Drosophila melanogaster: one gene and its partners. The protein of the gene in region 2 interacts with the protein of the main gene of each other region in a pairwise test. Each region holds a gene or a part of one and is shown on either strand. Other genes may lie near its edges.

The links. Proteins that work in one complex are often made in the same cells at the same time.
Region 1: the proteins of Axn (region 2) and CAP interact in a two-hybrid assay, tested with the Drosophila melanogaster proteins (2 studies listed by BioGRID).
Region 3: the proteins of Axn (region 2) and arr interact in a two-hybrid assay, tested with the Drosophila melanogaster proteins (one study listed by BioGRID).

Annotation. Positions count from the first base shown.
Region 1 is NT_033778.4:10,277,209-10,282,664, forward strand, and holds the start of CAP (CAP), read left to right. Parts: upstream 1-1,527; 5' UTR 1,528-2,132; coding exon 2,133-5,456.
Region 2 is NT_033777.3:30,020,366-30,026,962, reverse strand, and holds the start of Axn (axin), read right to left. Parts: upstream 4,122-6,597; 5' UTR 3,123-4,121; intron 2,537-3,122; 5' UTR 2,341-2,536; intron 1,498-2,340; 5' UTR 1,424-1,497; intron 746-1,423; exon of another isoform or gene 91-745; intron 1-90. Other genes in the region: RpS28a (ribosomal protein S28a), read left to right, coding at 4,365-4,559.
Region 3 is NT_033778.4:13,479,301-13,484,864, forward strand, and holds the start of arr (arrow), read right to left. Parts: upstream 3,930-5,564; 5' UTR 3,855-3,929; intron 2,785-3,854; 5' UTR 2,669-2,784; coding exon 2,476-2,668; intron 1-2,475. Other genes in the region: cbc (crowded by cid), read right to left, coding at 4,487-4,604, 4,673-5,180, 5,271-5,564.

The sequences.
Region 1 (5,456 bases), on a different chromosome or scaffold from region 2:
AATGCAAAATTTATCAGCGATAGCCCAGAAAAGATAACTAAAATGTGTGCTGTTCTACAGCAAATTGGGCGAGGCGTAGAAATCAATTTCAAATTTGTTGATATTACGGGGCAAGAAAACTGAAAATAGAAGCCGCTACAATGGATCCACAGATATAGATAGCGGCTACTTGGATGTTCGTCGTACGTCAGTGATTCAGGCAACTTGGTGGGGCCCAAACGAAATCCAAACGGAAACCGAAACCAATTGAGAATACACATTAAGTGAGTGGGTTTCTGAGGAGGGGAAAGCGATCGTTTAGTATTCCCTAATTGGTATACCCGTGTCTGTCACACTGTGCAGAAATTGCATAATGCCCGGGCCAAAACCACCACATCACGTGTCTGGTTCGTCTGGCACCTGACAGACCCGCGAAGATACTTCAGTTCGGATTGGTTCTGGTCGGAGGAAGTTAATGGAGATGATGGGGCTGTGGGCCAGACAGAACAAGAGAAATTGAAAGCCATTAAGTACCTTTAAAAATAAAAGCGGAATACTACTAACCGCATGGCCCACTGGGATGATACATGGGAGAGCTATACATACATATATGCGCGTGGATATATGTTGCTTCAATTATTCAAGAGTACACCGAAAACAGAGACTTGTGACCACAAAAAGCAAAGAAATTACGCACGAAAAATATCTTTAAAATGCCATAAGTTGTATATAGATACACAGCCAGCGCAGACTCATCAGATACACAAGCACACACATCGGCCAGAAGATACATATAAGCAAACTCGAACTGTGGCAAACTATTTCCGTATTGAGTTCTCTTCTTAATGCCCTGCATTGAGCCATTTTGGGTATATTGCACGAAAGTTTTTTAGATCAACCACTTAAAAAATTAAACAATTTAAGTGGTTGGAAAACGGTTTATCTGATTTCATTTGACCTCTAAATTCTTTATTTTCTCTTAATGTCTTACATCTTTCATTCCTGAGCATTTATCAACCGAAATTCAAGACAAAAATGTGTTTGTGACATTTAAAAAAATTTATTTTCGAAAGCATATATTCGTTAGCTTAAATTCCACAAACAAATTATGTACGTGTTCCAAAAACATTTTCTAATATTTATGAATGTGCCGAATATATTTTCGAGCCGTGCGTTTCTTTTCTGCTCATCTCGGATTTTATGAGTTTGTTTGGCTTGTGAAAATTGCATTGACCTAGAAGTCATATTGTTGTTTTTTTTTTCGGTCTCTTTGGTATTTTGATGTCTTTGGAATACCCTGCATTCTGATTCTGATTCTGTTTTGGTTTTGCACATTTCTCTCCCGCTCTCCCGTACGACTTTCTGTTTTCTACGTACATGTATGTATTGTGAACATGAGCATCGTTATGAATTCCCCGATTTTCCTTTTTGTGTGTATATTTTCAAATACTTGCCACTGTGCATCCGAATCGGGCTGTCTGTAAAAATGTGTGTGAGTGGGAGACTGGGGAGCTAGCTCCCGGCTGAGATCGTGGAAAGCCCACGGCCCATTCCTTGTCCGTCGGTCGCCAGCGCCACGAGGAACGGGAAGCGCGATCTTAAAAAATATTTAAAAAACTTTTCACCCCGTGTCCCCGTTGCTCAAATCGAACATACCCCCAAAACGAGAGCGAAAGTTTAGTATTCAAAACGCAATTTAATTTGGCGAAAAAATATCGAGGCAATCGGAGACAAAGGCGCGATCTCGGCGGCGAAAAATAAACCTAAAAACATAACGATTTCGGACGCGTGCCAGGCGGTGGGCGGTGGGCGGGGCGGCGTAGACGCCGGCAGCGGCAGCGACGTCGCTGTTTTATTTTTTTATTTTCTTTTTTTTTTCGATTTTGCCGGCTGTCGTCGCGAGCAGAATGCCGCCGGCTCTCGGTTCTGGTTCTCAGTTCAGTTCTGTTTGAGTTTCTGGCGACGAGTGACACACACAGAGGGAACTAGAAATAAACGACACCGAAAAACGAAACAACACTTAGTTGTACTGTAGATTCTGGCTGATTAAGAAACACGAAACACGAAGTACTCACTTACACACAAAAACACATATATATCTCACACACAAGGAAAACTGCATTAGTTCAGATCGAGCGAAAGTGCCGTAGACGATGCCCAATAACCGCAATCGTAATCGCAATCGCAATCGCAACAAACGCAATCGAAACCAAAATCAAAATCAGAATCCGAGCCAAAACCAAAACGAAAACCATCAGCAGCAGGCAGAAGGGGCGGAGGATCGGGAGGAGCAGCAGGATTTCCAAACTCAGATCGCAGTAGCGCAATCTTCTTCCTTCGTAGATGATAATGGAAATTCTGGCAGCGTTTCAAATGGGCCAACGGAAAACAGCGAAGAGGTGACGAACACTCTTGAGAAAACCGAAAAAAAAGAAGAAATATTCGAGCAACCAGCAACAGTCATCCAAAAAGAAGCAGATTCAGACGCAGAAATGGGTGCCAAAAACTCAAAACATCGCAAGGAAAAGTCCGATAAGCAGGCGTCTAATGGAAAATCTGAAGAGCAGGTGCGTCCACCTCCCACCATTATAAGAAGGCCACCCGGTAGCCCCCGGCAAGCCAAGGTCATAGTTCATCGAATTGTGAGGGAAGAGGACACGGCCAATGGCAAAGCTCAATCTCCAGAGCCACCCAAAGCCGTGGAATCTAAGGAGCAGCACATGGAGGTCGAGGATTCAAAGAAGGAGAAACCTGAAGCTCAGCAGGAGATTGAAACTAAGGAAGAACGGGAAAATGAACCGAGTCCAAAGGAACTTCCTGAATCTAGTCATCTTTCGGAGGACGCACAGCAGAAACATGTCGAAGTTGAAGAGAATCAACAAGTTTATGATGAAGTGGACTACTCAAAGGATGAGACCACTGACAATAATCCACAGCAAGAGCAACACGATTCAAAGGAACCGGAGCAATATGTGTTGCAACTCGAAAAGGCAATGGAATTTGTGGAAAATGCACATCAGCAACACGTTGCTGCCGTGCAAAGTTATCAAAAACAGAGAGACACTGAGCAAAATGCACAGCAGCAGGAGCAAAATGAAGCACAGCACCTACAGGAATCAACTAAAGCGCATCAGCAAAATATTGCAGTTCCACAAATCCTTGTAGATCCGAAGAAGAGAGAAGAGGGCCTCGCACAGCAACTGCATCATGATGTGAAAGAGGAACCCATTTTGAATAACGCCCAACAGCAAAATGATGACACTGCACCGAAATCCCCAAAGGAAGTAACAATAAAAGTTCAGTTTCAAACAGAAGATCCTTATTCCCAGCAGCCTCCTCCACAGAAGCCCACCTCCAAGGTGATTATCCACCAGATACACGTGGAAACCACCGACGAAGAGCAAAATGCCAAGCCCACTTTCGAGGAGGTTAGCAGCACTACCGGTTCTCTGGCCGGAACCCTATCTCCACCACCTCGTTATTTGGTGGAGTCGCCGAAGAACGTGTCAAGTGGCCAGTTTTCGAACTTCTCGCGCAATGTGCAAATCCAGGAAATGGAACTGAACAGCGACTTCAGCTCCGGGGAATTCAATTCCCTGCAGTCGCCGCTGGTATGCGAAGTAGACTCGGAATCAGAGGGATCGGTAGTCTTGGGACCGGAGCGATCGCCGTCGGATCAGCAGGTGCCGTCCAGCAGCCGAGTAGAGCAGCATGAGCAGGTGCGCCAGAAACGTGCCCAGTATCGGAACGCTTTGGAATCGCACTTCATGCCGCAGTTGCTCAATCCCCGCTATCTGGACAGCATCCTGGAGGAGAATGAATGGAGAAACTCCACCGCCTCCTCTGGCGGAAGCGATCAGACGGGGATCCGCACTCCCAAGCTAAACGAGACCTTTCCCAGGAGTCAGTTGGACTTTAGTCGCAGACACAAGCGTAGGGAGGAGGCACCGTCGCCTCTTAAGCTCGAAACCAAGCTGCTGGAGGAGTCAACCGATCTGGAGAGCTGCACCCGACTGCAGAGCGCCCTGTCTCCACAGTCTGAAGATGCGGAGCTAGTTTACCTAAGCTCCTCGGCCTCCAGCAGCGTCTCTGACCTCATGGAACTAGAACTAGAGCAGGCTGCCGCCTTGGCGGAGAGAGCCCTCGTAGACTTGGATACGGATGCCAGTCGGTTGATTGCTCGGCCGGATGATGAGATGAGCAGCACTAGTACCACTACTGCAGACAGGAGCGAGACGGAAGCGGAAACGGAAACGGAGACGGAGAGAGAGGGCGAGCAGAGTCGCGAGAGCACACCTGTTAACGCCAACCCGACGCTCGCCAGTTCGCAGTCTTCGCTGCTGAGCGCCGCAACGCCGACGCCGACGCCGACGCCCACTCCCGCCGATCGAGAACAATTAGCAAAAGATACAAATGTATCTGGTGGATCGACTGTTAGTTTCGGGGCAGCATCGCCGCTAGCGGCCACGCGCGAGGAGTTCGTTCGCAATATGGACAAAGTGCGCGAGTTGATCGAGATGACGCGGCGCGAACAGGAGCAAGGTGAACTACCGCGATCGCCGTCGCCGCCGCCCGTTCCCCCACCTCCCGCTTCCGTGCCACCCTACAGTCCCGAGTCTTCCTCGTTCCACCTAGCTTCCTTGCAGCTGAAGCGGCAGGAGTCGAACGACTCCCACTGCTCTGACAGCACCACCCACAGCCAATGCACGGCCATCAACCTGGCCAGTCCCCCACCGCCACCCACTGCTCAGCCACCTACACCGCCACTCAGACAAAAGCCTGCACCACCACCCGTACCGCAACCCGTATCACCACCCGCACCACCCACTCCCCAATCAGAGCCAGAGCTTTCAGTTGCAGATTCGGTTGCGAATGCAAATGCGGATGTAGATGCAGATGCCGACACTGATACGGAAGCAATAAAGAAGCTGCGCCTGCTGTGCACCGAGCAGTTGGCTTCCATGCCCTATGGCGAACAGGTGCTCGAGGAGTTAGCCAGTGTGGCCCAGAATATAAGCGACCAATCCCAGAACAAGATGCCCTATCCCATGCCCCAATTGCCGCACATCAAGGAGCTGCAGTTAAACGCCAATGAGAGCAAGTCCTCCTCCGCCTGGCTGGGTCTGCCGACCCAGTCCGATCCCAAGCTATTGGTCTGCCTGTCGCCCGGACAGAGAGATTTGGTAAATAACCAAACCCAACCGGATGACCTGCTCGATGCTCACCAGAAGTTCGTGGAGCGTCGGGGATACCATGAGTTGTCCAAGGCCCAGGTTCTCGAGCAAGACCACCAGCAGCAGCAGAGTGAGATGCTCAAGACGGCGGCCATGATGCGCGAGTTGCGCAAGAGCCTCTCGCCCCCAGCGCCTCCTGTCCCTCCGCCGCCGGTACCGGTGAAGAGCGCCGAAACGGCGGCCAAGGCGACCGCTCACGAAAACGCCAAGAGAGATGACGCAAGCGAACAAAAGCAGAAGATC
Region 2 (6,597 bases):
TTGTATCTATATCGCAACTTGTAAAACTGAAAAACGAACAATGGCTTACTTTTTGGTAAGCTAGTTACGAATGTATACAGCTTAAAAGTTGCTTTATCACTTAAAAATAGTTTATTTACGAGCAATTGAACAATCTGAGACCCTCAAACAAACTTAAGCTTTCTGTACTGGACTGCACTTTGATTCTGAAACTCACTATACATGTTTGTGTTTTAAGAACGAATACAACCATTTCGAGGATTTTTTCTTAGTGGAGGACTACTGCCCCTTGAATATCCCGACCAGCTGTTGATGGACTGCCCTGCGGAGGAGCAGGAGTGCGAGTGGCGGTGCTGGGACGACCTCCAACATGATGATGCTCCATGTACATTGTACAACAGCACACAAAGGATGTTCTTTTCAGAGTGTCCGTGGTTGCGGCGGAGCAAGCGAGACGGCAGCAGGCGAATAGGAGTCATTGTGTGCAACCAATATGCGCAGGTCCAGATTGAGTCCCCAGACCCTGGTCCCCCCATTCTATGCCCTGCTGCCCAAGCCCAGACCAAATCCTGGCCCACTGCCAGAGTGGCAAGGCAAAGGAAGGACCAGACGCCCGCCCGTTCTTATTGTACATAAACAGAGCAGCGGAGTTGGGTTCGCATTGTAGTCCTTCCTGAAAGCCGAGGGGTGGGGCAAGGGTTGAGATGGAAGACCCACCTCCGGAGTCCGATTCCTCCCCTAAACACAAATGTGGAAATTATTTTCGAATAAGTTTGAAAACAATACGAAGGGAGGAGCGACCGGCGGCAGCCTCGTTTGTTTCTAATGAGGTTAAGACCGCCATTGCTCAACCAACCGCCCGATGAACGGCGTCTGATGGCGGTCTAGACTCCACGCCGGCATGGTCTGGCCCGGCAAACTGGGGGAAACACGGGCACTACTCACTGCGGCTGCGAGTATTGCCGAAGGTCAATAGTGGCACTTTGTGCGCGGCAAAAGTTGCCAGCACAGGCGGAAAAGTTCAGCGCGGAAGCGCCTACTTTTCAGGTGCAACGCCCATTACAAGGACACCGAAGGACCCGAAGGATGCACTTGGGCGCGGTCAACTGTTGCTCCTCTCCGAGACAACGGAAACTTATTCAATTCCTTAATCAGAGTGCTGCAGCCCAATAAACAATAGTGAAATCATGGTATCCTTATTGCACTAAGAGGATTTTTCAATTGAGTGAAAAGGTAGTTTCCGAATAATAACCAATTAAAAAGGATTTATTAAAACCCTTCAGGATGTCATGATTATTAGGTTTCGAGAAATGGAAAAGGACCTAAGTATATCAATGTAAATCAGTTTTTCATACTAGTTTATATTTCTGAGATTCTCGCATGCAATCGTAGTTGTCTTAAACTTCAAAACCATTGACAAAGTAAAAATAAGTTGTATACTCACATATGTAATTTGCATAAAAAATTCAACATGAAATCAGGGGAAGATATTGGTATTCCGAATGGTTCCAGTTGTTCCTGAAAGAATAGTGAAATGAAGAAAAGATTAGATCAATTGAAATCATTTTGAAATAAGCTAAGACAATATATAATACTAAAATATTTGTTCGAAAGACTAAGGTTGTAAACATATAGTTAAGAGTTTGGAAAAAAAAAAGATTAGAGCCATTGTTATCCATTTGGTATAAATTTATGTTATATGTTAAAGTTAAAGTTTTATCTGAAGACTAATGTTTCTAGCCTTACCAAGCATTATGGGATAGTTAAAAAAATTATGAACACTTTTACTCTGTTTTAAATATACATATATATAAATAAATGTATATAAAATATGTATATATAATAGGCAAGCTTTATACATAAGGATATTATCAATTATCAATTGGGAGAAAAGAGATTTGGCCATTGGGTATATTTTTGTTCGCCAAGAAAGTAAGTCCAAAACAATGAAAATAATTTTAAGAAAAATCTTTAGTCTCGTGCATCTCATAAATAATCATTCAAACCAAAACATAATACAAATACCATAAATAAATTAAACAAAAAAACTTTTTTATATGCCAGTCATAAATATTGCATCAAAGATAAAATTGGAAGGTATTTTAATAGAGATAAAATTGTATAAATATTATTTTTGGCTCAGCTTAAATAAATTTACATTTCAGAGCCCAAATCGAATTAGTTTTCAACACAGCGAACTTTAAATCAATCAGTAGCAACCACCCAAGTGCCTCCTTTTTTTCAATAAGCCATACATATTGGATTTGTGGGGGAGAAAATATTTCGCGCACGGGTGCATCCAATAAACGCCTAAATAAATCTAAAGAATGCTTTGAATATAAAGGGTGATAGAACACTAACCGATTAAACTCAAGTGAGAAATGGCCAACGCTTGAGAACATATCAATCCATAGCGCTGCAAGTCCTTTAAGATGGTTGAATCTTTTTATGTCCGGTTTGTAGAAATGTTTAACTACACGCTTCACTTAATTACTCTTATTCGCATAAATTCCTATTTACGTAGCTTATATTACAGTTGATGCAGTACATTCAGTACCTGAAAGAAGAGGATGTGTAAATTGTTAAATAGGTAACATTGTATATTATGGATATGAATGCAGGATGATAATATAATTATGTTTTACTGTTTTGTTAATTAATTGATTTGTTAATGAAGTTAAAAGATATATACAGTTTCTATGGGATCCCATTGGCACATACACCTCAGAAATAAATTAAATGTGCTGCAAACTAATTAATTGAGCAATATTTTAGTTGGATGATTAGAATTTGCATGGCGTTCTAAATGACTTTTTCAATGATCAGGTATCATCCTTCGATTTAATGAAATATACATTTCATAAAGTTACTATTATTGCAAAATATATGCTCACATTTCTTACAAAGGATCATTCAAATTACTATTAATATTTGAGATATTAGTTAGACGTGAATAAATTGTCTAATTCCAATCATTTCCCTTGATACAACTAGATCATTAATCAGACTTATGTTGTGCCTTTCTTAAAGTATTAATATTAGTCCTTAAGTAAGTTGTGCAAATCCAATAATCCACAAACTGCGTAAGAAAGTAATAGCATTAGTTATGGATTGTGCATGGGAATTCCAAGAGCAGTACTCACCCTTAGATTCGTGTATCCTCGGCTTCACTCAATTGGGATGGCAGACGACTGATCCTGGCGCAGTCCTGACGGCCCTGGCTCCAATCTTCGATGGCGGTGACGATGGCAATGGCGATGACGAGGTGGGTTTGGACGGGTGTAATTTGATTGTAGCTTTAACGGCTGGACGCTTCGATTTCAATTGCAACTTAGCTTTCAATTTCGATTTCAATTTCAACTTCAATTTCGATATCGACGAGGATGCTTTCATTTTGATTAGTGTGCTCAACGAGAGGGACGCGTGACTAACAATTAATGGAAGGACGATTTGTGGAGTTCAACAAACAAGCAAACGTAAACAAGAGAGTGTGGTTAACAAGGCGCTGGCACGATGACCGGACTAAATGCTAAACAAGGCTGCAGATCCTCTCCTCGCGCACGGATCCCGATCCTCTCCTCTGCTCTCCTCAACTCAAGTGGGCTGGCCCGAGGGCATATCCTATCCTATCCTATCCCGGTGTCTGAGCTGCCTGCTGTAAACAATGGCTGTATGTCTCTTAACTTAATGCTTCGCCAGGAGCAGTCATCCTCGTCCGCTGGCAACTTTGGGCTCTCCGCGGGGAGAAAATCGTGCTGAAGCGCCGCCCTCTAGAGCATTTCGGCGTCTCCGGGCTCCTGCACTGTGAGAAATCTGTGCTCGGTGGCCTTTCCACTCAGTTCTGCACCATTTGTGCACTTTTCCGTCTGCTGCTTCTTTATTTTGTGTATTTTGTTGCTGTTGCCTCCGCTGGTTGTGGGTGCTGCTGCTGTTGCCGTTCGATTTTCATGGACGTATCGCTGCGGGCCGCTGTGCGCCGAGTCTCCGGAACGCGCACACTCTTTTAGGGCTCCGTGGCGCCGCTTATTCAGTGGTAAATAATAGATTTATTGAATGGCAAAACAAAATGTAGTTCGACACAAATGTTAGACGGCGAGACGAACGATTACATGCTAGAGTTGCGTGGTTCGAAATCGAACTGGTTCGATAGCTCGCCTCGGGGATGCCAACTGGATTGCCAACACTGCGAAAGGTGGCAGCTCGACTTGGGGTCACCTTGTGGTTCGCGTCCGCACTTATGTTGCGCTACAAGGCCTACAGGTGGCGCCAGGGATGATAGAAGGGTAGATAGGTTTTCTATTTTCATCGACTGGAAAGGCAGCAGCACTCACAGCTTCAAATTCAAATCTTTTATTGTCGAACAATTCTCGAATTTCGTATTCAGCATGGACAAGCCTCAGTACGCTCGCGTGGTCGAGATCCTTGGACGCACTGGATCCCAAGGGCAGTGCACCCAGGTGCGGGTGGAGTTCCTCGGCGACCAAAGCCGCCAGATTATTCGGAATGTCAAAGGACCTGTTCGCGTGGGCGACATCCTGTCGCTGCTGGAAACTGAACGCGAGGCCAGGAGACTGCGCTGATGTATGAATTACACCTGTTTGATTTCCCAAATCAAGTTAATAAACGATTTTGTTTGTTCAATTTTTAAATCCCAAACTATCGATTTCCTATCGCTAAGCTATCGATTCTTGCCATCGCAGCCCTAACAGCTGTTTGTGTTGATTCCGATTCCGCGAGACACTCGGATACAGATACTCACGCTCAGATACTCAGTTACTCAGCTACTCAGATACTCGTTCGCAGCGGACGGCCGAGCTGAGATACTCGATCGCGAGCTTGTTGTTGCCCCAGCCAGGCGAAAGTGAAAACGGAACGCCCAGATGAACGCCGAATAAATCAAGCGAAGTAGCAACAAATGCGGGAAATGTGAAAATGCGCGCGGCAGTGGGTTGAAGCGAGACGGGTAGAGCTAGAGAGATGCCCGTTTGCCCGCTGTGCGTGTGTGTGTGTGCAGCGGCGGCCGTAGCAGCTGCTGGTATGTGTGTGTACCGCAAGTGCAGGAGCCTGCATTGCAAAAACAAAAGCGAGTGCGAAAAGAACAGCAAACAGGATTAAAAGTGACGGATTCGATTCCCCGGGGAATCCTACCAATTAGTGCAAATTCCGAAATGCACGGAAAAGCGAACGAAAGCTGCGAATTCGTTACACTGCTGCACTTGGACTTTTCGGGGCGCTCTGAAAAATCGATTGACCGCAAGGAAAGTGGCGACCGCGAAATAATGCAGGCATTGGGCTCCTTCGAGGCAGCTGCACTGCGCGAAAAGTCCAGCAAAGGTGAGTGCGGACAGCTAGGGCAATTAAAGCAACAAAAGGCCAAAGATTGTCGTTAAATTCGATCCATAAAAAGTGGGCGAAAAAACAATGCAAAGCGTACGGCGCATTTGCCTGAGTTTTCGTGTTTGTTTGTTTTGGTTTTTTGCCTTCGCTTTCGGCACGTCAATTTTCGCCACTTATTTCGTAACAACTAAACCGAAAATACCTGTTCGTTCCACGCCCCCTGCCACCGCCCACCTCCCACCGCCCCCCGACACACCCAAAAAAAAAGTGCTTGCATTTGCGAATAGAGGTGGTTCCTACACCGGAAGAAATTACTGCCTGCGATTTAATGTTATTATTCTAATTAAAAAGCCTATGCATTATGAATATTTCATTCATAAATAAATCAAAGTCAATGAACTTTTATCTGTTGCTGCAAGCGCTCATTTATTCATAGAAACTAGCTTAAATGGTGAATATTTCATTCGGTTTTCCAACTTCAAAATCACTTTCTAAGTGGTATTCGAAACTCCGCACAGTGTACTGCTATTCCTAGACCTTTCATTGCCTGAATTTCAAAGTCGCGTTCAGTCGTCAGTCAATTGGCCCACTTACAATTTATTAATAAAGGGACCGGGTCATTAATGTTCATTGATTTTCCGCACTTAAGTGCGTCAGATTGACGTTACCAGGAAACATGGTAATTAGTGGCCCCTGGCACAAAGGGGCGTGATTAGCTATTCCGCCGGAGTGAGAGTCCTGAGATCGGGAACTCCACTCTTCCACTGGCTTGGATTCGCAGTCAGTATAGTATCACATCTCATTCGTAATAGCACATTCCAGGGAACTTCGCATGTGACTTGGTTCTGGAATGTCCACTTGTGAATCGAAACTGCTTTCAACTGGCGGCAACGTGACTCCAAAGCAAACTAGTTAGGTTTCGCGGAAAAGCTGTAAAAACTACATACATATTATTTGCAGTGCCTCATTTTCAAATATCGTTTTTGGTTCCTCATGTGAGTAGTTAAGGCTCGGGGGAATTTTTAATGTTTATACAGATACATACTTGTATGTAGCTTATTACTTAGTTTCGACCTTGAACAACATCGCTGATATGAGCTAATTTCATTATTCTCCTCAGAATAAAGTGCGCTTCATATGTGTAAATATGAAAAAGTACATACACAGGCACGTTTATGTTGTATAGAAGTCTCGCACGTTACTCATGGTTGGTGGAATCATCTCTTAACTCTATAAGATGATTACAGCACAGCTCCAAATGGGTCACTGCGATTGCATCCA
Region 3 (5,564 bases), on a different chromosome or scaffold from region 2:
AAGCTTTAAACAGATTATAGAAACCCAATTAAAATAATTGCATTAATCTTTGTCCAAAATCTTATTTTCTACAGACAGTAAATTTGAAATGATTCTTTGCTAAAGGCTATTTAGACTGTTTTCTTTTGGCAGCTTACTTATGAAAATCACTTTCATTTATATAATTAAACTAGTTCATGCAATAGTTAACATTCTGATAGTATGCTAAACATCAAATTAAGATTTTAATTGCAACGAATAAACTGAAATTCACGCATGACTAATTGAGTTGGGCATTTTTAATTGGATAATTGGGAAATACTAGCGACTAATGCTTCCTAGGCAAATCCCGCGAGGAAAGACAAAGTGTATCAAGTGTTGACTGACATTCCTAAGCCAATGTCAAGCTGGCTGTTGGAAAGTTGAAAGTGGAAATGGTGCACACATAAATGAAATCAAAATCAATGTCAACAACAGTGAAATGTCGAGTGTCCCGCGGGGACGCAAAGGATGTCAGCCAGGATGGCAGGATGACTGGCTGGCAGGATGCCGTCAGTGGGCGGTGGATGTGGCGTCAAAGGCGCCGTCGCCTTTGAAGTGCTCCCATTACTACTAAACTGGCGTTACTACGGCGTAGTAAATAGAAGCTAAAGCAAATAGCGCTTACGTAAAGGGACCAAAAAAAAGGGGGAATCCCCCACACGGCATGACAGCAGCGCGCAAAAACGTCAGTTAGCTGCAAAAAAGAACAAGGTTTAAAGAAGAACTGGGTGGCCGGTGGGTAGTGTGGAAGTGGTGGCATGGGTGGCATGGATGGCATGGGTGGCATGGGCGGCAAATCAACGCTGGCAAAAAACACTTTGTGCGCGCGTCAAAGTGTTAAAGAAAGTAAGCATCCAACCAGCCGCCCACACACCACCCACACACGACAGAGAGCTGGCCGGGAATGATGGAAGATGGGGTTTTTTTTCCGGAGCTTTGTGTACATATTTGATGCGCTTTTTTTCCTCCCACCCGGCTCGACAAATTTAAGTTTTCGGGCTTCCTTTTCGGTGCGGCGGCACTTGCTTTGTGGATGCCCCCATGCATGCTGGAGTACTCGCAATTCCGGACTCCGAAAAAACTTCGGATTGCAACTGAAGGAGAGAGCCGGAAAAAAAAAATAAAAAAACGAAGAATCCGAAGGCTTATCTTTCAGCCAAACACTCGAGCGTTTTTGGGGCTTAACGATGTTTGGACGGCCTTTGTCCATTTGCTATTTCCATATTGACTTGTCCCGTGCAGGTCCCTTCTACTTCAGTCCTTTGAGCCCCTTTTTTGAAGCTGCACTGAGAAAAACTTTCAAGGAGTCATGCAATATTAATCTATAGAAGAACTGTTTCAGCCCACGAAATTTGTAAGTTCCTCTTACAGACTTCATATCTTAACTTTACATATGATTCCCAACAGAACAGTTCATATAGAGTGGATCTATCGATTTACCATTAGATTTTAAATAATGTACAAGTTATACAAGATTTAATTGATGAGAACTGAACATTTTTCTGAGTGTATAATTTTTGAGCCTGGGTCAATGCTTTGTGCATTTTGAAATATGCCGGCAATTACCGGGCAACTTTGCCATATTACAACTGCTGAATTATTAGTGAGCTGCTTTTTTCAGCTCATTAGCGTCGCATCTAGTGGAAAAGTGTTTGGTGGGGCCGCAGAGTTGTAGTAGTCGTAGGAGTAGAAGTAGATGAAGAAGGGGGTACTAAATTATGCGCAGTGCAATCAAGTTGAGTGCGTACTACAGTCTAAATAAGTAGTAGTTGTTTATTCATAAAAGCATTGCGCCGAGAAATTGTCAGCCTTTGGGCTTTGACAACACGAAAAAGAGCTTAAAGGAAAACGCAAAGCGGCAAAGGAAGGGGCTAAAAGGCTGGGCGAGGGGCGGGGAGCGGGAAGCTCAAAAGTGCAGTTGAAACCACATAAACAAACGCATACAGTGGGCACTCGAACAGGCAACATGCCTGAAATGCAGTTCAGTTACTCATATTTTATCTATGGGATTTTAAGCTTTTAAATTCAGTGAATCATTGAAATAAGGAACTATACTATTAAGTAAATATTCTATCTGAATAGTAATTTTTGATGTACATATTGAAATTTTGCTAAATTAACTATTTAAAATGAATATTGACCAATAAATATAAATATCAAATATTGATTTGAGACTAAACACTCTCAATTTATAATTCAATCACTTGGGAATCACGCAACTACGTTGGTTCACATTAGCGAGCGATACCTGTAGTACAAAAGCCTTTGAGGAAAGTAGAGGAACGATATCAGCGAACCCCCATTCCCATTACAAACTGTCTATCCCTGCGGTTTTTTGAACTCAAAGCCCTCGCCACTCGTCAAATTAATCGAACTGCCATCAAATGCTTGTCAGTTCCCAGCTCCTTTGGCAAAACCGTTGCCCTTTGTTCGAAATGAAAGCACAGAACTTACCATTTTTGTACTGCCAACTGTTTGAGATGCCAAAGCAAATCAGTAGAAAGCCGATCAGCATTTGTCGCCAGCCCACTCCGCTGTTAGATTTCGTGCATTTCGTCGCTTTCGTTGTCACATCTTCATTATTATCTATAACTTGGCACAATTGAGGTTCGATTTCAGCAGACTTTGTGTATGGCTCGAGAGCCATCTTATTTTGGAAGCACTATCTCCGGAATTTTAAGACATTTGGCGCAAAAACAACAGATGACGCGACCCGATCGTGTTTGTCTTTTGTTAGGCGCACATGGTAATCACACGGAAAAACTGCAAGTGGAAGGGAGAGGGAGGTTTGAAAACAGGTCGCTCTCGAAAATCTTTCACTCCCTAGGGTATCAAATAACACCCTTGTTTTGAACTCTCGTTTGTAGTTACAACAGTATTTGCAGAGTTATGCCTGTTAGTAAATAGGTTTTAGGATTTTTGTTTTACTTTCTACGTATCTTTTTTAATAGATTAATATTGGTTCAACTGTTATGACTACAATACAATTCAAATTTATTTCAGTTTTGATCACTAGTGAGTTAATAACTTTTAGTTCCTCGTGCTCGCACTTTTGTTGCGTAGTGTAAGCTAGCTGTTGCTTATGTTGTTGTTATTTCAGTCTTTCAATTGAGTTTCCCGCTTCTTTGTTGACGAGTGTGATCGTCTTGTTTGCATGTGTGCGAGCCACCAATTGTTGTTGTCGTTAAGTAGCGAGTGATAAGCAATTGTGCAACTGTGTGAGGGCCACCACACCGCCATCACCCCCTCCGATCAACTGGTCGCCAAATTGAAATACTGTAAGTGATAAGGTGACTCTGGGTAATTAGGGAACCTCTTTTGCCGCCGCTTCTACGGCGCAACAAGCCGGCAATCGACGAATTGCGGTGCGTGCGCGTGTGTGTGCAACCCCCAGAAAGGCGCAGCGCTGCACTTTCCAGTGGAAAATTTCACGACGCAACCAAAACAAACGCCGTTTGCCGCTGGAAAATGCAGCAGCAACAGAGAGCAAGTGAGAAGAAAACACACAAACACACGCGCACACATGCACAGACGCACACACACACTGGGGGAAAACAGAACGTCTTTCAAGCAGGCCGTAAATTTAGATGCCCGAAAATCTCTTGTTTTGTTTTTAGAACCATTTGATACACATTCCAACAACAACATCAGCAACATCTCGCATGCTGCACAACAAACACGAAAAGCACGACAAATTCCACAGTATCTATGGTTTATGCCCGTTGAAAGTGTATTAATCGTCGCCGTTTCATCGCTATTTGTTGTTAAACCAACGCAATTCGACCGAGCGCAGCCATTTTGTGGTTACTTTGTTTTGTAAATATTTGATTTACTTTTCACTGAGTTTTCCGTCCGCCGTGTTGCCGTGTTTTTCGTCTCGCTCTTTCGAACAGTGTGACCGCACTGAGGCGACGTACGCAGCCGTCAGTATGGCTGCACCTAATTTGCCTAAATATTACCAATTGAGTGTTCTAAATATACCAAAAATATACTGGAAGTAGAGTAGACGTTTGGTTGCACACCTTGCTAAAAAAATTTAGAACACCATTTTGTTTGAATTATTTTCGAATAGAATTACATAATTTTACCAAATGGCGAAAAATGCACATTGCAAATATATTCAAATGCAATTTTTACAAAACCCTTTTTCAGTGGTTATAAGAAACACATAATAATACATACATACACATACAATACATATACTGAATATTATATTCTTGTATAGTTATAATTAATTATAATAGTTTTCAATTTTCAGAAATTACAATATTTGTTTGATATATGTTCTATTCTTTTATAGCAAAACTTAATTAATTTTTGCAAAATGTTATTAAATGTTATTTCAGTTGTTAAACTTGTGGAAAACTTTAAGTTTACTACTTGCACATCTAAACTGTATTTTTTGTAACGCCAACATTAATATAAAATTTCTTAAATTACATCTAGAGCAGAGCATTTACAAATGCTAGGTATGATTATCCATGAACTGCAGTTCCGACCACAGGAGCAGGGCGTTCGGGGGCAAAGGTCGCGGCTGCGGCGAAAGCAACATCACTGCCTGTCTTTCCATATCCACTTCGGTTCTGAGGATAATCAAATAACAATCATATATAACTAGTATAATATCTAGTTTAGGTTCAGCAGCACTTACACGCAACAAAAGCCGGCCACATTGGTGCCAATCACATCGTCCTCCACGGACTCGGCAAAGCTGAGGGCCAGCACATGATGGATTAGGGCGGGCGTGGGTGTAACCGCCACCACCTTGGTCTTGTTGTCCTCCGCCTTCATTCCAATTGGCATGCAGGAGTCGGGCAGCGGCGGTGCGCCGATCTTGTAGAGTCGCAGGTCCTGGAACTTCACCTCGAAGCTGAACGGATAGAAGGGCGCCCTTGTATTGCCGTAGAAGTACTCCTTGATGCGCTGATCCCTCGCCTCGTGTCGCAGTTCCTTGCTGCGCTCGACGACGCCGCCGCTCTTGGGCAGCAGTACCACATGAACTCCCTTGGGAACATCTCGAAGCAGCTCGTTGTATAGTCGCTCCTGGTCCAGAACAAAGATGGCACAGGCTCCATAGGCTTTGGCCGCGTGCAACAGGTGCGCGTAGCCGGATCCCTTTACCCAGCCACAAGTGTTTATAATAATGCCAGAGCTTTTTGCTGCAAAAAGCAGATGCAGAAATTTGCAGTTTATGAACGGGAAAATGTATTGAAAAGTGCAAAGATATGTGTTACACCTTCCCAACTTACTTCGCTTGTTGCTATTCAGAGATTGCAGTGTTACCTCTGCCATTTTGGAAACCACGGCATTGTACAGCACGCTGTTTCCGCTGGGAGACTTATGGCCAAAGTGATAGACCAGCGGCGCTGTCTTGGCGAATCCCTCCTCAACGTTCGCCGGTCGCTCGATGAGAATGGTGGCCACACTCCCGGAAATGGCAATCGAGCCCTGTCCAACATCCAGGTCGGCGTACAGCGGTCGACGACCCACGCGCACAGCATAGTTAAGCAGGATGCGGCACAGAGTGCTCTTGCCCACGTCCA